Linked DNA regions of Arabidopsis thaliana. The protein of the gene in region 3 interacts with the protein of the main gene of each other region in a pairwise test. Each region holds a gene or a part of one and is shown on either strand. Other genes may lie near its edges.

Region 1 (4,440 bases), about 17 Mb from region 3:
ACGAGTTGACGTAATGGTGTATGTAATCTATTCATTTATGTAAGATTCTATGTTTTTAAGCAAATCGTTTCTTTTTTGGTATCAAGCAAATCGTTTCATAATTAGCATATAATGTTTTCTAGTTTCTTTATCCTTTCAATGTGTCAAGCTTCATTTTCTATTAATCATTTTGAATAGACCGAACGCAAGAAGATGTGTGTGCTTCGGCCAATAGCAAGAAAAATCAAACCCTTGTAAATATTACATTTTCTCAAACAAATCCGGTTTTACATATTCTACTTCTGCTCCAAATATGAAAAATACTTCGGTTCAAATCCGGTTCACCCTCAGGAATTTAAACTTTGTTATTCACCCTATTTTATTTTGCTAATCATAATATACCACTTAATTAAAAATATTAAATTATAAAAATTAATTTGCCACCAAAAACAGTTATATATTAGTTTGAGTTTATAAGAAAATAGTTAAGATTAAAATTTAATAATTAAACAAGATAAAATATAGGTTTGAGTTTATAAACGAGTTTAGATTTTTTTCAACTAGATGAGGTTAATTGTTGGTATGAGTTTATAAAAAGGTTTACATTTTACATTTTTAAACGAGGTTAAATATATCAATTTGGGTTTAGAAAAAATGGTTAGGATTATAGACGTTAAAACTAAACGAGGTTAAATGTTGGTATGAGTTTGTAAAGGAGAATTATGGTTTAGTTTGTAAATAAACGAGGTCAAATTAAATGTTGGGTTTGGTTTATAAACATATTTAGATTTTACAATTAAACGAGGTTAAATGTGAGTTTGGGATTAGAAAGAATGGTTAGAATTTATATTTTACAATTAAACAAGGTTAAAATGTCGGTTTTGAGCTTTTAAAGATGAATGAGAGTTTAGATTTTATAATTAAACGAGATTATAGATCGATTTAGGTTTACACAAAAAGTGGTTGAAATTTATATTTTATAATCAAATGAATTTTTAATTTATTTATTAGATGATAGAGTTTTATTGGCCGGAAATAAACTCTTAGGGGTGAATATAAATATTGTTCTCGGATTATCTAATCAATAACATAAATACTTAAATAGTCACAATTCTCAAATATATACAATCTCATAAAAAGGAAAACATTATTAAATAGTTTTAGCTGAAAAATCTAGTGCAATCAAAAGTAAAACTGATCATAACGATCCCACGAGTCTGGGTTGTCAAATAACAAATCAGAATTAAAGTCAGCACTTTCACTGCCAGATGACGATGAAGGAGGATAAGAGCCTGATGGTGATGATAGATATTCTTCTATAACATCTTGACAATCTTGGTCATTACTGGTTATCTCACGGTACTGATCTATAGCTTGCTCTTTGATGATATCTTCTTCATGCTTAACCGATAAGGAGAAACCGTTCGAGCGGCTTTCCTTCTCCTGATCCTGATCTTTTCCGAATCGGATCATTTGGGTACTTTTAAAGTCATCTAGGGGATCTTGTCCGGCAATAAAAATGGCATCTAGATTATGTTCGGTTTTGCAAGTGTGGTGGCCAAAGTAAGTGGTTCGGTAAACCGGAGGATTGTCTTTGATCTTTTGTTCATGCTTTCTTGCTTCGCAGTTATGATCTTTGTTGTAAGAACATCTATAGTAACTCCTGTTACCATCATCATACACCAATTAGTATGAGTGATCGGGATAGAAATAATTATGATGAAATATGATTAGCTATACTATTTCTTACCTTTGGTGATTAGATTTTTTTATACTCTTTTGACCATATTTCCTCCAAAGATACCCGTCGTAGTAAATCGGATCCGGTGAATCGTCCCTCCAATTCTCACTTGAATTTGTACTATCAATCTTTCTGCAAACATGAGTATTATCAAAATATTAGCATTAAAATCAACATATACTCCTAAGAAAAAAAATACTTATATTAAGAATTGTGGTTTCATTTGGAAAAACAAAAACAAACTCAAAAAAGAAAACAAACTCATAAGTGTATACCTTTTCTTGGAGGGGCTCCCCTGTGGAGGAGGAGAAGAATCCCTAGAAGATAAATCAGAAAACTGATCATCTTCGGTTTCTGGTTTAGCAGATAAGATTGAAATGGCATTGGAAAAACTTTCAACGATCGATTTAGCAAGATCATAACTTGAAAGCGGTCCACCATCAGCCATTGGATGGTTGAGCCGCCTCTTCAACCGCATGGCGCAGCTATGGCCATAACGGATAGCTTGCACCGCCTTTTCGTGTGGGGAGTTCATTTCCATAGAGTATAGTGAACTTGTGTGTGTGTGTATGTGTTTCTTGTTTGTTTTCTTTTTCTCAAGTCTCTTCTCTGTGCTATAAACTTTTGAACGGATAGGGAGATCAGAATTTATAGGACTAGTCGTACATACACGTTCCCAAATGACTTTGCCAATTTGGGTTTACCAAATATAATTTACATACACTAGGTTATATTTTAAGAAGCCAATGATAAATTATAATTTCGATATAGGACATGTGCTCTGCTAGACTTATATGCGTGAATCTAAATAAAGAGAGACAAAAAGATAGATTAGGTGTTGACATTAGCATATGATCTGTCATGATGTATAGGAAACAGAGTTTATTTTATATACCTTTCCCAGTACGCGGCTCACTTAATTATATACAATCTGTTTTTAATTGTTTCAGAATTTATCTGTTTCTCTTATTACACTAATCTACGCGGTTCGCTTAATAATTAAAGATTAAAAATTAAAAACTACTCCTTTCAGAACACTAAAAGGTTTCAAGATAGGAGGAATCTAATAGAAAACTGTGTTCTACAAAGTCAGATATATTAGAGAGAGATATGAGCTATGATAAACCCCAAATTAGCAATGATTTTAAAATTTTCTTTTGTAATCTTTCCATTTCAATATGTGTCGCAATTTTTTTTATTTTTTTTTTGAAAATATATAGCAGATGAAATTTAAGAATAAATTTGTTTGCTTAATTTTGTTGATTGTATATCGTTAAATATTTTTTATTTAATATTTTGATAGGTGGTTTTAATTATAATTTATACGGTAACTAATAATATAGAGTTTTGAAAATAATATATTTTACGTTCATATGACAAAAAAAAACAAATGTATGTAATAGATTGGATGTTCACAAAAAAAAAAAGTATAACATATTTTACACGTCCATCGCAATGTTTACCTCATCAAAGATGAAACGTGTACAAATAATGTTTTTTTGCTCAATATAATAAGCTTCGAACACATATGATATGATCAATTCATTTTTTTGTAATGAAAATACTCCACTAGTCGTGGATATCTTTAATGGTAAAATTATCTAATTTTTTGGTGAGTTTTGGTTCAGATTTTAAATAAAAATGTAAGTATTTAGACCAGACAAAAGATAATTATTAGGTAATAGAATAACATTAACAAGTAAGATCTAGACAATTTTTCAACGCTTAAAGAGAGAAATAATTGCGATGTAGCTGGCGAGTGGCGACTAATGCACCAATGAAAACGGCATTAGTTTCGTCGGACACTCGACGTCAGCCCCATGACGTAGTTTTTGTTGAAGGGGCTGATTCAGCAGATTGACGTCAGAACGAAGCAGCAATGTTGATTATATTATATACTAACAACAACTAGTCAACTATGCCGTGATGTGAGATTCATTCGTTGGCTACTCGGTCCATATTTTAATTTAATCTAAAATTTTAAGAATTTATAATTAATAAGCTTTGCAAAAGATAACTGGTAATCTTGAATCCTTTTTCTTTAGGTAAACTTGAATCTTATATGAAAGAAAAATTAGTAATTACATTTTAAGCGGATAAAATGATATAATATACGTACAAAAGCTTGTTTTGAATATATAGTATAATCTGAAAGCTAACCAATCCAAGTTATACAATCATATTTTAAAACTAATAGATGGTCAATCCAAAACAATTTATCCTTATCAGATTGTATACATCGATGGTATTTTCAGGCCATGAATTAACACCATTCATGAAACTATACAACAAATTACAAAGTTTGTAAAGAATGTTAAGTTCTATCTACCCATCAATTTAACAACCCTATCTTCTTCTGCGGGTGGTTAATGTAAATTGATAGATATCAACACATAAGAGATATATATATATATATATATATATATATATATATATATAAACTTTCGCACGTGACTTTGATCTGATCTGTGAAACGTTGCCCACATGTATTTTGTTCTTGTTATTAGCAAATTGTTAAATATTGTATAGGTATTAGTACTATATTGAGTAAGGGGTCACATATGTACAAGTCAAGCAAAGCTATGGGTCAAGTCACATTATTTTATGGTGCGAAAGGAAAGTGAATGTGAACATGACTTACATGACAATAATGGTGATACATTTTTTTAATAATTTTATTTATTAGCTAATTAAACCAAGTAGTTGGAACGTAGCTTCCA
Region 2 (4,476 bases), on a different chromosome or scaffold from region 3:
TCATTGCGGCTTGGCCTCAAAATCTAGGACCAACCGGACTTCCTTATGATTCAAGAAGAGTTAACTTCACTGTAATGTCAGGAACTTCAATGTCTTGTCCACATGTTAGCGGAATCACTGCTCTTATCCGGTCTGCATACCCGAACTGGTCTCCAGCTGCAATCAAATCCGCATTGATGACAACAGCGGATTTGTACGATCGTCAAGGGAAAGCGATAAAGGATGGTAACAAACCAGCCGGTGTGTTTGCGATTGGAGCAGGGCATGTGAATCCGCAAAAGGCGATAAACCCGGGATTGGTTTACAACATTCAACCAGTGGATTACATAACTTACCTCTGCACTCTTGGATTCACAAGATCAGATATTTTAGCAATCACTCATAAGAACGTGAGCTGCAATGGAATATTGCGGAAAAACCCGGGTTTTAGTCTCAATTACCCGTCGATAGCCGTGATTTTCAAACGTGGCAAGACTACGGAGATGATCACAAGGCGTGTCACTAACGTTGGGAGTCCTAACTCGATATACTCAGTGAATGTCAAGGCTCCAGAGGGGATCAAAGTTATTGTCAATCCTAAGAGACTTGTGTTCAAACACGTGGATCAGACGCTGAGCTATAGAGTATGGTTTGTATTGAAGAAGAAAAACAGAGGAGGGAAGGTGGCTAGCTTTGCACAAGGGCAGTTGACTTGGGTCAACTCTCATAATCTGATGCAGCGAGTTAGAAGTCCAATCTCTGTAACCTTGAAGACTAACTGAGCCAATGAAGGAAAACGTTTTTCATTCTGTTTCAAGACTGTGTTAGGTTTATTAGGTTTTTATGCTAAGAAAACCTCGTGAAGCTGATTGATTGTTGTTATTGTACGCACAAGAGCTGTATTTCATTTTCCAGGGAATGAAACTACTGGTGATTCTATCATATTACTGTAGCTTGATTTCATCACTAAACCCTAATCCAGATGCATGCCTTTGTTGTTATAGTGGTATATTGGATCAGGCACCAATAGAGTGAAAAACCCTAAATATACAAAGATCTTTAAAGACAAGGTTAAGCTGTTGTTTGATATTCACAAACGACCACAAGACATATGTACACTCATGTATAAACATATGCACATGTATATATGTGAATGTGATATATGAGTTACAGACCAAAGAGATGTAAACTGTTTTTGCTATATAGGACTCTCTACTTACCTACTCCAGCTCCAATTGATGTCTTCATGATTCTCAGTCTTGTCACAGACCCGAGGAACATCCTGAGAAGATGAAAAGATCGTTTTCATTGAAATGGATGTGCCACATTACAAATACAGATGATGAATGGGAAGTTATAAGGGTAGTCACTTACTGCCAAGGAACATCTCCTACAAGCATCCAATCTCCGTCTTTATCTTGATATGTTATGATATATTCCGATGAGCCATCCAGTAATTTCGAAGTACATGTTTCCTTAATTGTCTTGTATCCTTGTGTGTTGGATCCTACAAATCGATCAATCAAAACCAGTCAATTTCAAGAGACACAGAATTTGAAAAACAGAATCACATGGAATCTCATGAAACAGAATTAGTAACTGACTTGTTACAGGAGAAGGAATCTGGAAAAACATTAGATCCAAAGTTTTCTCTAAGGCTGCATAAGAATCCAGAGCATTGAGATCAACCTTCCTTCCAATTATAACTCCGTCCATTGTCACCTTCACAAGCATAGAAGTCCTGGACGATTTGATAAAGCAAGCATCATCGTTCTTAGCAGCAACCACTACACTTTTTGTAGTCTCCTTTTGAATGCCAGAACTCAAGCCGCCTTCCGTAGCTAAAGACTTTGCTTGATTGACCAAACTGTTGATTCTGTAAGTCCGTAGAGGCGGCCAACCTACAGCAACTTGTCTGCTCCATTACCAAAAGATATTAAATCAAAAGACGAACAAGTATAAACCAATATGATTCAAAAGTTTAACTAAACATTTCAGGGAACACTCTATTTGATTCAATCCTGTGATTCATTCATTCTCAAAGTTTAAGGTCTAAAAGCTCTATCCTCTAAGTTGCTTTGATTCTGTAACAATAAGCAATCTGAGACCAATCATTCATATAGGTTATAATATAAAGTCTCGAAGATGAATTTTTTACCTGGTTGCGTTTGAGGCGGCAGCCGGAGAAGAATCAGCAGAGCGTTTGGTCCCACTTTCCCTGGTCAGAGAAGAAGACGAGGAAGACAAAGACGATCGAACCTTCCGACGACCAATGCTAAGACCCAAAGCTAGGTCGAGCTCTGTCTCTGACACTGACTCGTCGGGGCAAGATGAATCCTCCGACGAATGTGCGGCGTTTTCGTCTTCTTCAGCTGGTAGTCCGATCATCACCGACCCACTTGACGAACAAACTTCTTGCAAACCATTCATTATCCCAAATTGCCAAACGAATACACAAAGCAAGAACACTAAAACCCTTGATTCAAATCCAATTATCGATCAAGTTTGAAGAAACCCATTAACCAAGCAAACCAAAAAAAAGGTTTCAACTTTCAACACCTCTACGATTCTGAATTTCGAGACAGAAAAAAAAAAAAAACTTGAGGTCACGCACGGATCCACAGAACTGAAATTGAGAACTAAACGAGGTTTTAATCTTGATTCGAGGGCGACTTCGATTCTCGGATCAAAAACAAGGAATTTTTCTTAAAGAGAGAGAGAATGAAATTGGAGGAACGAAAAATCGGAAACGGTACACGAATGTGTGCGTTGCGTTTGGTGGAGGTTTGTTCGTCTATATAACTTTATTATTTTAATTAAATACATGATGGGACCCACTTGTATACACTTCTAACGACAAGTTTTACGTTAATCCTACGCTAATTGTGTAATTAATCTCTTGCGCAATCAAAGCTTCATCTTCCTTTACAAGTTACACAGTTAGGGCTCCGATGGTAATCTCACCACATCTGTTTCCCAACAGTGAGAATTTCAACATCTTTCATCGCCATACCAATTGTTCTTCTCCTTTGGTCCTGTAGGACCTTCCTCGCCGGATAATTCCACCGGAAGTTTTCTAAGCACTGTGGCAAGCGAAACCCTAACCGTCCTCGGAAATCGATTCACCAATCTCTCTATCTCCTCTCTTGAATCGTACACAACCTTTGGTCCCCATTCTCTCATGTACTGCAACCACGGCGGTTCTGCCAACACACTGTTTCCGCTGAGATACTCCGCTGCAATGATCTCGTACCGTGAGCTCGAATCTACCAAGAGTTCACTACGCGCAGTGTCATTTCTTATCCCAATCCCAAGCATTGTCGATCCCTGTAAGTAAGTCCCAGCCCTAGGAAAGCTTGCGTGACCATGTTTTGAAGAGTAAACAACGGCTTTGTTGCTTCCGGGAATGATTTCAAGGTCGTATGCTTCGATCCACTCGCCGCCACTGTGTTGAGACAAGTAGATTGAGTAAAGCTCACCAGAGAAATTGCTGATTCGGAGAGTGAAATGTTCCCAATCGCAGACGTGTTGGCCAATACTGATCAATGAGATATCGACGAGTCCTAGTTTTAAGGTTGCTGGTCCGTTAAATGGACAGAAGATCCAGAAGACAAGATCCGTGAACGTTCCTCCAAGAGCAGGCTTAATATGAATGTAAAGTTTCGAGCTTTCAAGGTTTCCTCGCTTGACGAAATCTCTTTGTTGATCATCACACGGCAAATCAATCCAAAACTGCTTGTCATTGCTTCCTCCTTGAGGCAAATTCGAACCATTTTCATCGATAGGTTCCTCGATTGGATTTCCCTTTTCGCAGAGAACTGCACCATTTTTGAAGAACCACGAAACAGAAGAAGGTAAGTAAGTTTCACCAGGATGGAAGACTAGTGTAGGACCATAGTGTTGAATCAAAGCTTGAATCTGATCAACATTTGGCATCGCATGTAAACTCAAATCTAGATTCTTTAGACAAGCAATACCGATACCAAGATCTTCTCTAGCAGCAACAAGCCGAGTTCTGCAGAAGAAAGTACCTGCAGAGACACCTTTGCCCCACATTCCTCGGTCTGAAGGCCGAGTTCTCCATATAAACAAAGGAACACCTAAAGATTCTGAAACAGCAGTGACAATGACATTGTGGGGTTCACATATATCAGTAAGATCAGCTCTAACACATCTAACTTCATTCAACTCAGGTTTCACGGAAGTCTTTGTAACCACAAAACCGATCGATCTATACCCTTCAGGAGGCTGCGGTAACCAGAAGTAACCGCATTCGCTCTTACTACTACATTCATTTTCTGCTGAATCATTTGAGCTCCAGACAAGAGTAAAATCAACAGGTTCCACTAATGCAGGTTTCTCTACCTGTTCTAATGAATCCACTAAATCTCTTGCCGCAAGTACATAACCTCTCAAAGGATGAGAATCAGACTGACAGTAGTGACCTAAGCAATGGAAGTCTTTAGGTAACAATCCCTTTGGTTTGTAAAATGAAAT
Region 3 (8,020 bases):
ACAAAAGTGTCCCCTGAAAGTCACGAAAGCAGAAGAAGAATAATGTAGGAAGGAGTAATATGTAATAATGGGGGTTAAAAGATCGAGAAGCAGCGTAATGTTTTAGGCTTCAAGAAACTTCCTATGGAGTTGCGTGTTTATTCCCTCATATAGTGTGCCCCAAGTGGTGAGGTCCCACATTTTGTTTACTTTATCCTATTGTTTATTTGGAATTTTGGAAAAATTAATAATTTTGTTAGATTGTCTGCTTTGATGTGTCATCCATATCAGACCTATCACTATATGTGTCGATGGTAGAATTACAAGGAGCTAGAGAACCACTTATTTAACTATGCAGTTTTGTATTGTTGTAAGATAATGGCATAAACTGATACAATTGAAAGTTTTTCCATAAACTCAGCAAGTTTGATAAAATGTTTGTTGTGTTTCTGTGACGATTGAGATTGTCGGCTTAAGGCGGTAGTATGCCAGAGTTGCCGGTGTTGTGTGTTTCATATGGTTTAAAGTCTTGATTTAGATAGAGTTCTACCTAAATACAAGTTTGGTTATGAAGAGCCATATGATAGAATGAAACCATAGATCACGAAACTTTGATCATGTGTTTGCCATGGTGTCATCTTTCTGTTTTTCAGCGGATTCGTTTATATGGACATGAGCATAGCTAGAGAAATAAACTTGAAAACCCAAACCTTGTTTTCCTCATTGTTACAAGGGAAACAACAAATTTTAGCATCCAGTTTTTTTTTCAAAGTACTTTAAAAAGAGGGCTCACTGTTTTGCTCATTGCAAGCTTAATTTTCAGATTGTAGCTAGAAACATCCGAATTTATTTAATGTAAGGATTCGAAATGGAATCCGTTTGTTAAGAGGTCTTACAGTTTCGTGAATATATCTATATCACCGTCTAATACGAAAAGCTGCAAAATACCGACAAGACCAGACCAAAACCAAAAGTCAGCAAGAGAATAAGTTGAGAAAATGTGAATCGACAAGATAATTAAAAAAGGGCAAGAGCTTGAAAACTTATGTACATTGGGATTAATATAAACAATAAAAAGACTTCAAGAGATCTTTGGAAGAAGGAAAAAAATACATCCATAAAAAGAACCGATACCAGCCTCCGACTACAACTCCACACCATCATATTCTACTTATAAAAGAGCTTTTCATATTCTACTATATAATACCTGTAACCTTTTTATGTTTTACTTTATAATATCTATTAATTATTATTAGATAGATAATAAGGGTGATGGAAGATGCTAATTATCTAAGTGGCCAACAAAATACTTCAAAAATTGCATTTTTAATATCTTATCTTAAACCCATCATCCCATTTTGCTCTCCAGTCTCCACCAATCGACCCCCATCCTGCTGTCATTAACAGAACAAACATCAGTCGAATGTAATGACATAAACTTTTGGCTGTGTCTCTAGTCTACTAATATCTCAAAAGCTTTTACATACCTCGGCTTGCAGCAAAAGGGTTGTTGGTTATTTTGTTTGTTTAAGAGTTCCCAGCGCTGGACAATGAAGGATTTGATGCAGACTTGGCGTCCTTTGCATCTGATCCTTCCCCAACAACTGCTTCTTCCTCGCTCCTACAGCTTAAAGTCCCCGGGTTCATCTTCCTCACTTCCTCTTTCGTGTATATGAAGATTTTGCGAACCATGCAACAAAACTCCCTGCAAGAGAGATCATTGTGTCAGTGTTATAAGAAAAACACTAACATCGATATAAACTAAGATGGAAAATTTGCAAAATCTTACTGCCAAGGATCGTCACCAACAAGCATCATATCATTCTCTTCATCTGTGTAAACTATCAACCAATCTTTCTTAGGAGCCATCAACTCTCCATTGAACTCAAACAGCCTGTCCAGCTCAGCGACTAACTCCTCATAGTTTTGGAACTTTGAAAGATCCACTGAACGGCCAAGTGCAATTCCCTGCTTGTGAACCTTTACATCAATGTGTCATGTGTTAGTTGAAAAGTGATTCAAGGGTTATCACAACCTCATACACTTTGTGCTACATATTGCAAAAATTTACCTTTGTGCAACTCCTACTTGAGTTGGTTTTCGTTTGAGCATCCTTCGGATGAGGATTATTAGTCTGGAATGGTCTTCCCTGTTCACGATGATCGTTTGTTGATTTTGACCCTTTTGACTGATCTGAAAGGTCCTGAACCTTTGGTGATGCTATCTGTGTAAGCCCCGCAGCATCATTCAAGTTGTTTCTCTGAGACATGGTTGAGTCTGTCCCATTCATGTTGTTGGTCAGAGGAATGCCAAAGAGCCTGCAGTTCCCTTCTCTTGACTTTGCTGTCTCCTCTTGTATCGTGAAGGGTTGTTTTGTTACTTGCTCCCTAGCCTGAGCTTGCGCTTGAGCATTGACCACTTCCTCATAATAATTCAAAGCACGTGGACGTATTGGCCAGTTACCACCAGCATTCTCAGTCGATAGACCATTAAGAACAGGATATTCGCTGTATTTAACATTGCATCGCCCTTGGAGAGACGCATCAGTTGCTGCAGGTACCTTAGGAGATTCATGTAACTTCAGGGAGAGACCAGAGTGTATCATCTGCCACTGGTTAGCAAGATAATCGAACTTGCCTTCTGAATCACTCAAGATTCTCTTTGCAGGCATAGAAGGTGATGATGAATGGTCATAAAAAGGTATCCGCTGACCATGGGATGGATCTATGTTAGTCCCAAAGCCGGAGAGCAAATCTGTGTAAGTAGGTTCATGCCTGGCTGAGGACATCCAGTTCTCAGATCCATATCTTCTAGAACCCGAAACCACGTCAACCTTATCATCATCCGCTGAAGATTGCCAGACAACAGAATTCTCAGGAGCATCACACTCTACACTCTCAGTATGTTTCGTCCTCAAGGTCGAGTATTCTTGACCTTGCAAGACCCTTGAAAGTCCGCTTGCTGGTAAAGGGTCCATGTTTGCCTTAGTTGTACCTGTTTTGTGTACAATGAATTAGACTCCCACTGACAAGTTCAATTAAGTTTCAGACGCACTACTATGTGTACTACAGTGGAAGGGGAAGACATTACCTTCTCTGGTAAGCATCGAAGAGTCAGGAGATGAAGGTGCTATATTTGATCTGGGCCTCTTAGGCCTAGGCATTGGAACAGGACTCAAAGCAGGAGGAGCAAGAGCTGGCTCTACTTTCCACGGAGATACTCTATCAGGTCGAGGAATACTAGAAGTCTCATCCCATCTCACCTGAAAGACAATTGAACAATCAGCATTCATTATATTCAAACAATAGTCTTGATCCTCTCTAGAAACTAGGTCATACCTTGAGGGATCTCCACTTTGATTTTGGCCACCTAGTAGGATCAGACTCTTCAATCCCAACGATTGTGCCAGTAAACCTAATATAAATCAATACAACTTGTTAGGTTCGTTATTCCAAGAGAAAAAGGCTCAAGAGCTAACATATTTCAAAAGCAGAAGACAGGTTTTACCTCTGCTCAGGAGCCTCTTCGCCTTCAAATCTCATTTTGAATCTCATGCCAATAGAGTAGTTATTCTTAACAGACTCCATATACTGATCGAACGGAACAATAAACTCAGATGGGCTCGTCCTGTATTAAACAAAACAACACCGCATGAAAATTTAGTAGAGTGATTCACTACCAAGCATCAGACATATAGAGACATACAAAGCAAAGAGCTCAAAAAACTGAAAGCTGTTTTGTGAGCTAATACAAATACAAACCTGGGTTTGTAGTAGACTGTAAACATAGTCCCTGTTGAAATGGCATGCCATGCGGTGGCCAGTACTCCAAGATGCATGCTATGGCTAGATATAACAGAAGACGGCACGTTTCCTTGTTGTCGCATCGCACGCCTTACACCAACTCTTAATTCTCCATTCTCGCCCCTGTAGAAGATTAAGATATTCCACATTATAGAAACTAACAGATACAGCTAAAGAAAACAATGAACTAAAATCCACAAACCTTAGAAATATAAACGCATCGCCTGCAACTAGCCTTTTGGAGCTAACAAACACACTCCACCCACTCTGTAGCAAATGCCTCCGTGGTTGACCTGGTCCATTATCACAAACATCAACAACCAGATAAGTTTGATGACACACAGACTCGAGAAAAACAGAAAATAAAAAAGTTACAGATTCCTATACCCCGGAATATATGTCTGAATCGCCACTCATTTGCATGCAAATCCTTTGCAACTAACTCTTGAGTGGGAGGCTGTCGAGACATATCCTGAGGGAAGAAACAAAAAATGAATTGAAGGCAATCTTAGAACAAAATTCAGGAAAAATAAGCCAATGAATAGATAGTTAGAAGCGCAAATGAAACACCAACCAGAGGTGGGAGACATTCATCCGCATGTCGCCTAAGAACAGAAAATCCACCATGTGTACTTGTGTCGGATGCAGTCAAGGTTTTGCAGAACGAATGCACCTGGAACCTCGGAGGTGGAGGAAGAGGCGCTTCTTTCTCAATTGCATTCTCGTCTTGCTGTATGGAACAAAAAATATATAGAATTCAGCATCTTGAAGAATAAGATCACCTCTACAACACTCAAACCAATAAATCAGAAAACAAAACTTACATTAGCCTCAGGAAGAAGAGTAATCTGCGCATAAACTTCATCTGTATCTGCCTCTGCCTGTAAAATCATAAACAAAACTCTTGTTAGCTGACAATCCAAGACACAGAAACCAAAATTTTCCAAGAAGTTAAAGAAACCTACCTTTAAATCTACATTAATAACTCGACAGAGAAGCTTTGACGGAAGATCATAGAGAGGCATCTGTTGTTCTGCCGCCTGGTTCGTCGAAGCCTCCACCTAATCATAAAACAATGGAAACCGACAAAGTTCATTAGAAAATATCTCAACAGGTACGAATCACAGAGGGGTTAACTCAAAGATTTAGCCAAAAATAGCAAGAACTCATAGATGAAATATCTCACCTGCTCGATGTGTCCTTGAGGAAAATAGAAGACTCGGTCGTCTTGTCTAGGAACCGTCACAAGCGGACCAGCACAAGCGTGCCATAGCTCTCTGTAAAGAGCAGCCTCAGGGTCCACTATGAAGACGAAGAAGAAGAAGATAAATTAGATCAAGTCAGTCTGTAACCAAAACCAAGCTTAAGAAACCCTAAGAAACGGAGACTTACAAGCACGCTCAGCCGCAGCGGATCGGGTAGAATTACTTTTTTGCCCCTCGCCGGCGACGGAGACATTTCTAGTCTCCTTAGGGTCACTAAAACCAGAGGAGGAGAAGTTATCTCCTCCACGATTACCTTTCATTGAAACCTCCGAACTCGCCATACCTTCCGAAGCTCAGATCTGTTTCATCTGGTACCAAATAAGCCTCTAAGCAGACGATATCAACAAGAAATCTCCAAATCCGTCTCTGAAAAAGCTCAAAACTCGCTTCGGTAGTCCACTTGATTCCTTCCTTTGTCTTTATCTCACTAACAAACACAATCACCACTAGTTTAGCTCCTTGACATTACTCGATAAAACTATCAGAGAAGATAAACCCTAGAATCAAACGATAAAACCACCAATTTCACCTCAAATTGCCTCCGATTTAGAGATACGACAACTCCAAAGCTCTCTCTCTCTCTCTCTCGCCGTCCTCGCTAGTCTAGGCTTTATCGGAGTCACAGACGCTTGAATACCGACGACGAGCGATTTTCTCTTGTTTTGTCTCTCAGAGTTTGTCTCTCTAACATTCTCTCTCTTTTTATTTCTTCGTCTTTCCTATCCTTTTGTTTTTCTGGGTATGAGGCGACCAATGGGCTTAACCAGAGGTAGTCAAAACTCAGCTTCAATCATTTCAACCGCGGTAAACTTCTAACCCATATGGATAACCGGCATTCACCGGTTACCATTCCCTCTTTCATACCGGCTATTACCGGTTGTAACCATTTCCGGGGGACCAGGGTCTGCGACCTCACAAAACCAAAGACAAGTGACGATTTTATTTTCTTTCCTCCACTTTTTCTTATTTTTTAATAAAGCCTTTTCAATAGAAAAAATTGACATATCCTTTTCTAAAATTTAATTTTTTAAAAAACAAATTGGAGAAGATAAATTGAAGAAAAGACCCAAATTGCAGACATTTCCAAGTCGTATTTCCCCAGAAATATAGCAATTTAAGTCATCCTAAAATTGTTGACCAAAACAATTCTTGAAAAAACTATGGTCTGGTAGTATTTATTTACTGGTGACTGTGAGTTGAATACTTTTATTTATTTACAGTTACTGTGAGTTGAAAAATAAATACTCAAGTTGCCAAAAAAAATCCATTAGGGGAGAAAATAAATTAAATGTGTAGAGGGGATTAGCAAGTAAGAAAGGCTGCTTTACTTTTTTAGATGGGACTAACGGCGTCAACAAGTCGTGAGCAAGCGTCAACTTTTGATTGGGTAAAGAGGATAACGGTGTTTGGGAAAGAGAGCGTCAATGGGAAAGGTGTTGTGTTTTTATTGGGAAGTGGCTTTGTCGTGCTGTGAACAGGCAGGTCTGGGTGGACGTAGAGAGAACGAGAGAGGGAGAAAAATGCTACGTGGCACCAGAAAAATATGTGCATTTTAGCATTTTAAAGATATTTCGGATGTCATTTTCTATGGTCTTTTGGCTATCGTGCGCCTCTAGGAATTTTCGTCTCGTGAATCTCTCGTACTTTAATTTACCCTGTTTTTCTTTTTATGGAAAAACAAAGACGTTTCATTATCTGTTTTTTATTTTCTCTAATTCAATTACAACTCAGATATATAAAAGATCGTCGAATATTATACGAACCTCAACCATATTTATGATATCCTGATGGCAGAACAAAAAATACGAAGCCTTAACAGTCATTCGATAGTTATTTTAAACTAGTAGTTGATTTTATCTAAAATCATTTGCTGAACAACTAAATTAACTCTTGGATTACCACTTAATACAGCTGGCTAATGGGATGAATCTGCTTCAAAAATTAAATTTCCGTATGCCCCGTCATAATTACATATTTACATATATTGTTGTAAGTGGAAGCGTTAAAAAGGAAGAAAATCTGGTTTATAGACAAGAGTTTATTGTAGTCCACTCATACAGCTGGCAAATAAGATTAATTAGTGTTCCTAAAAAAAAATTAAGTCCAAATTACGAATGAATTAAATCAACCTTTTTCTTTTATAGTAGTATCTACTAAAACGTTGGCCATGTTCTTTTGTTGATTGCTGCGTCAGCTACCTGCGACCCAAAAAAAGTTCTCATCTCTTTTTCACTTTCATTTCTCATTTTTTTCATCTCTGCCGCATCGACTGTAATTCGGCCATTCCGTAGACGCTGGAATTTTCAGCGTCTCAAATTCCCTTTCTCCTATCTCTTCAGATCTGTCGCTGCGACTCTTTCATTCATCTCACCTTCATCTCTCTTTCTTTTTTTCTTTATATTTTATACCGTCGGTGCTTGTCGCAGCGATAAACAAAAGAACAAGGTAAATATCAAATAACTAATCGCGACAAAACTTTTTATTTTCTTCTAATTATTATATATCGTTTAATATTTAACACACGCACACTATTTTGCACAAATTATTTTTAACAACACGTAAACTATCTCTCTGTGAAACACAAAATCTATTGCAAAATTACAAACCATGAAAATCAAATTTGGAAAAAAAAAAAAATCAGGATAACGATGGAAAATAAAAAAGAAGACTGTTCAGCAATAAGCCAATAACACGTCACACGCGATATGACAAGGAAAACGAGACGATACAATATTGAGAGGAAAAGGACGAGAAAATGGGGAGAGGAAATTCACGTGTTGGTAACGCACTTGCTAAGAGGTGTGGGACCCAAGAGTACTGTGTAGCATTTGTGTGTGGTCTAAAAGCAACCATTGTAGGAATCTTTGTCCGTTAAAAAGAAAAACCATTTTTTTATATTTTCTTTCTTCTTTTCTCGTTTTTTCTTTAATAATCTAAATATATGGTCTTCGTATATCATCACCATTTTGATAT

What was found. The genes of interacting proteins can lie anywhere in the genome.
Region 1: the proteins of ARF2 (region 3) and WRKY38 interact in binary tests that used the Arabidopsis thaliana proteins (3 or more experiments, as listed by UniProt).
Region 2: the proteins of ARF2 (region 3) and IAA10 interact in binary tests that used the Arabidopsis thaliana proteins (3 or more experiments, as listed by UniProt).

The regions. Positions count from the first base shown.
Region 1 is NC_003076.8:7,494,447-7,498,886, forward strand, and holds WRKY38 (WRKY DNA-binding protein 38), read right to left. Parts: upstream 2,545-4,440; 5' UTR 2,262-2,544; coding exon 1,996-2,261; intron 1,853-1,995; coding exon 1,730-1,852; intron 1,643-1,729; coding exon 1,162-1,642; 3' UTR 1,009-1,161; downstream 1-1,008. UniProt on the Arabidopsis thaliana protein: Transcription factor. Interacts specifically with the W box (5'-(T)TGAC[CT]-3'), a frequently occurring elicitor-responsive cis-acting element.
Region 2 is NC_003070.9:1,057,742-1,062,217, reverse strand, and holds IAA10 (indoleacetic acid-induced protein 10), read right to left. Parts: upstream 2,749-4,476; 5' UTR 2,489-2,748; coding exon of another isoform or gene 2,410-2,488; coding exon 2,138-2,409; intron 1,936-2,137; coding exon of another isoform or gene 1,895-1,935; coding exon 1,584-1,894; intron 1,487-1,583; coding exon 1,354-1,486; intron 1,262-1,353; coding exon 1,192-1,261; 3' UTR 1,009-1,191; downstream 1-1,008. Other genes in the region: SDD1 (Subtilase family protein), read left to right, coding at 1-761; AT1G04090 (vacuolar sorting-associated protein (DUF946)), read right to left, coding at 2,971-4,476. UniProt on the Arabidopsis thaliana protein: Aux/IAA proteins are short-lived transcriptional factors that function as repressors of early auxin response genes at low auxin concentrations.
Region 3 is NC_003076.8:24,908,167-24,916,186, reverse strand, and holds ARF2 (auxin response factor 2), read right to left. Parts: upstream 5,997-8,020; 5' UTR 5,577-5,996; exon of another isoform or gene 5,475-5,576; 5' UTR 5,329-5,474; coding exon 5,175-5,328; intron 5,085-5,174; coding exon 4,969-5,084; intron 4,844-4,968; coding exon 4,748-4,843; intron 4,664-4,747; coding exon 4,607-4,663; intron 4,513-4,606; coding exon 4,357-4,512; intron 4,255-4,356; coding exon 4,170-4,254; intron 4,076-4,169; coding exon 3,985-4,075; intron 3,906-3,984; coding exon 3,741-3,905; intron 3,607-3,740; coding exon 3,487-3,606; intron 3,394-3,486; coding exon 3,318-3,393; intron 3,242-3,317; coding exon 3,070-3,241; intron 2,974-3,069; coding exon 2,051-2,973; intron 1,960-2,050; coding exon 1,769-1,959; intron 1,685-1,768; coding exon 1,507-1,684; 3' UTR 1,467-1,506; intron 1,374-1,466; exon of another isoform or gene 1,371-1,373; coding exon of another isoform or gene 1,314-1,370; 3' UTR 792-1,313; downstream 1-791. Other genes in the region: AT5G61997 (uncharacterized protein), read left to right, coding at 7,803-7,922. UniProt on the Arabidopsis thaliana protein: Auxin response factors (ARFs) are transcriptional factors that bind specifically to the DNA sequence 5'-TGTCTC-3' found in the auxin-responsive promoter elements (AuxREs). Could act as transcriptional activator or repressor.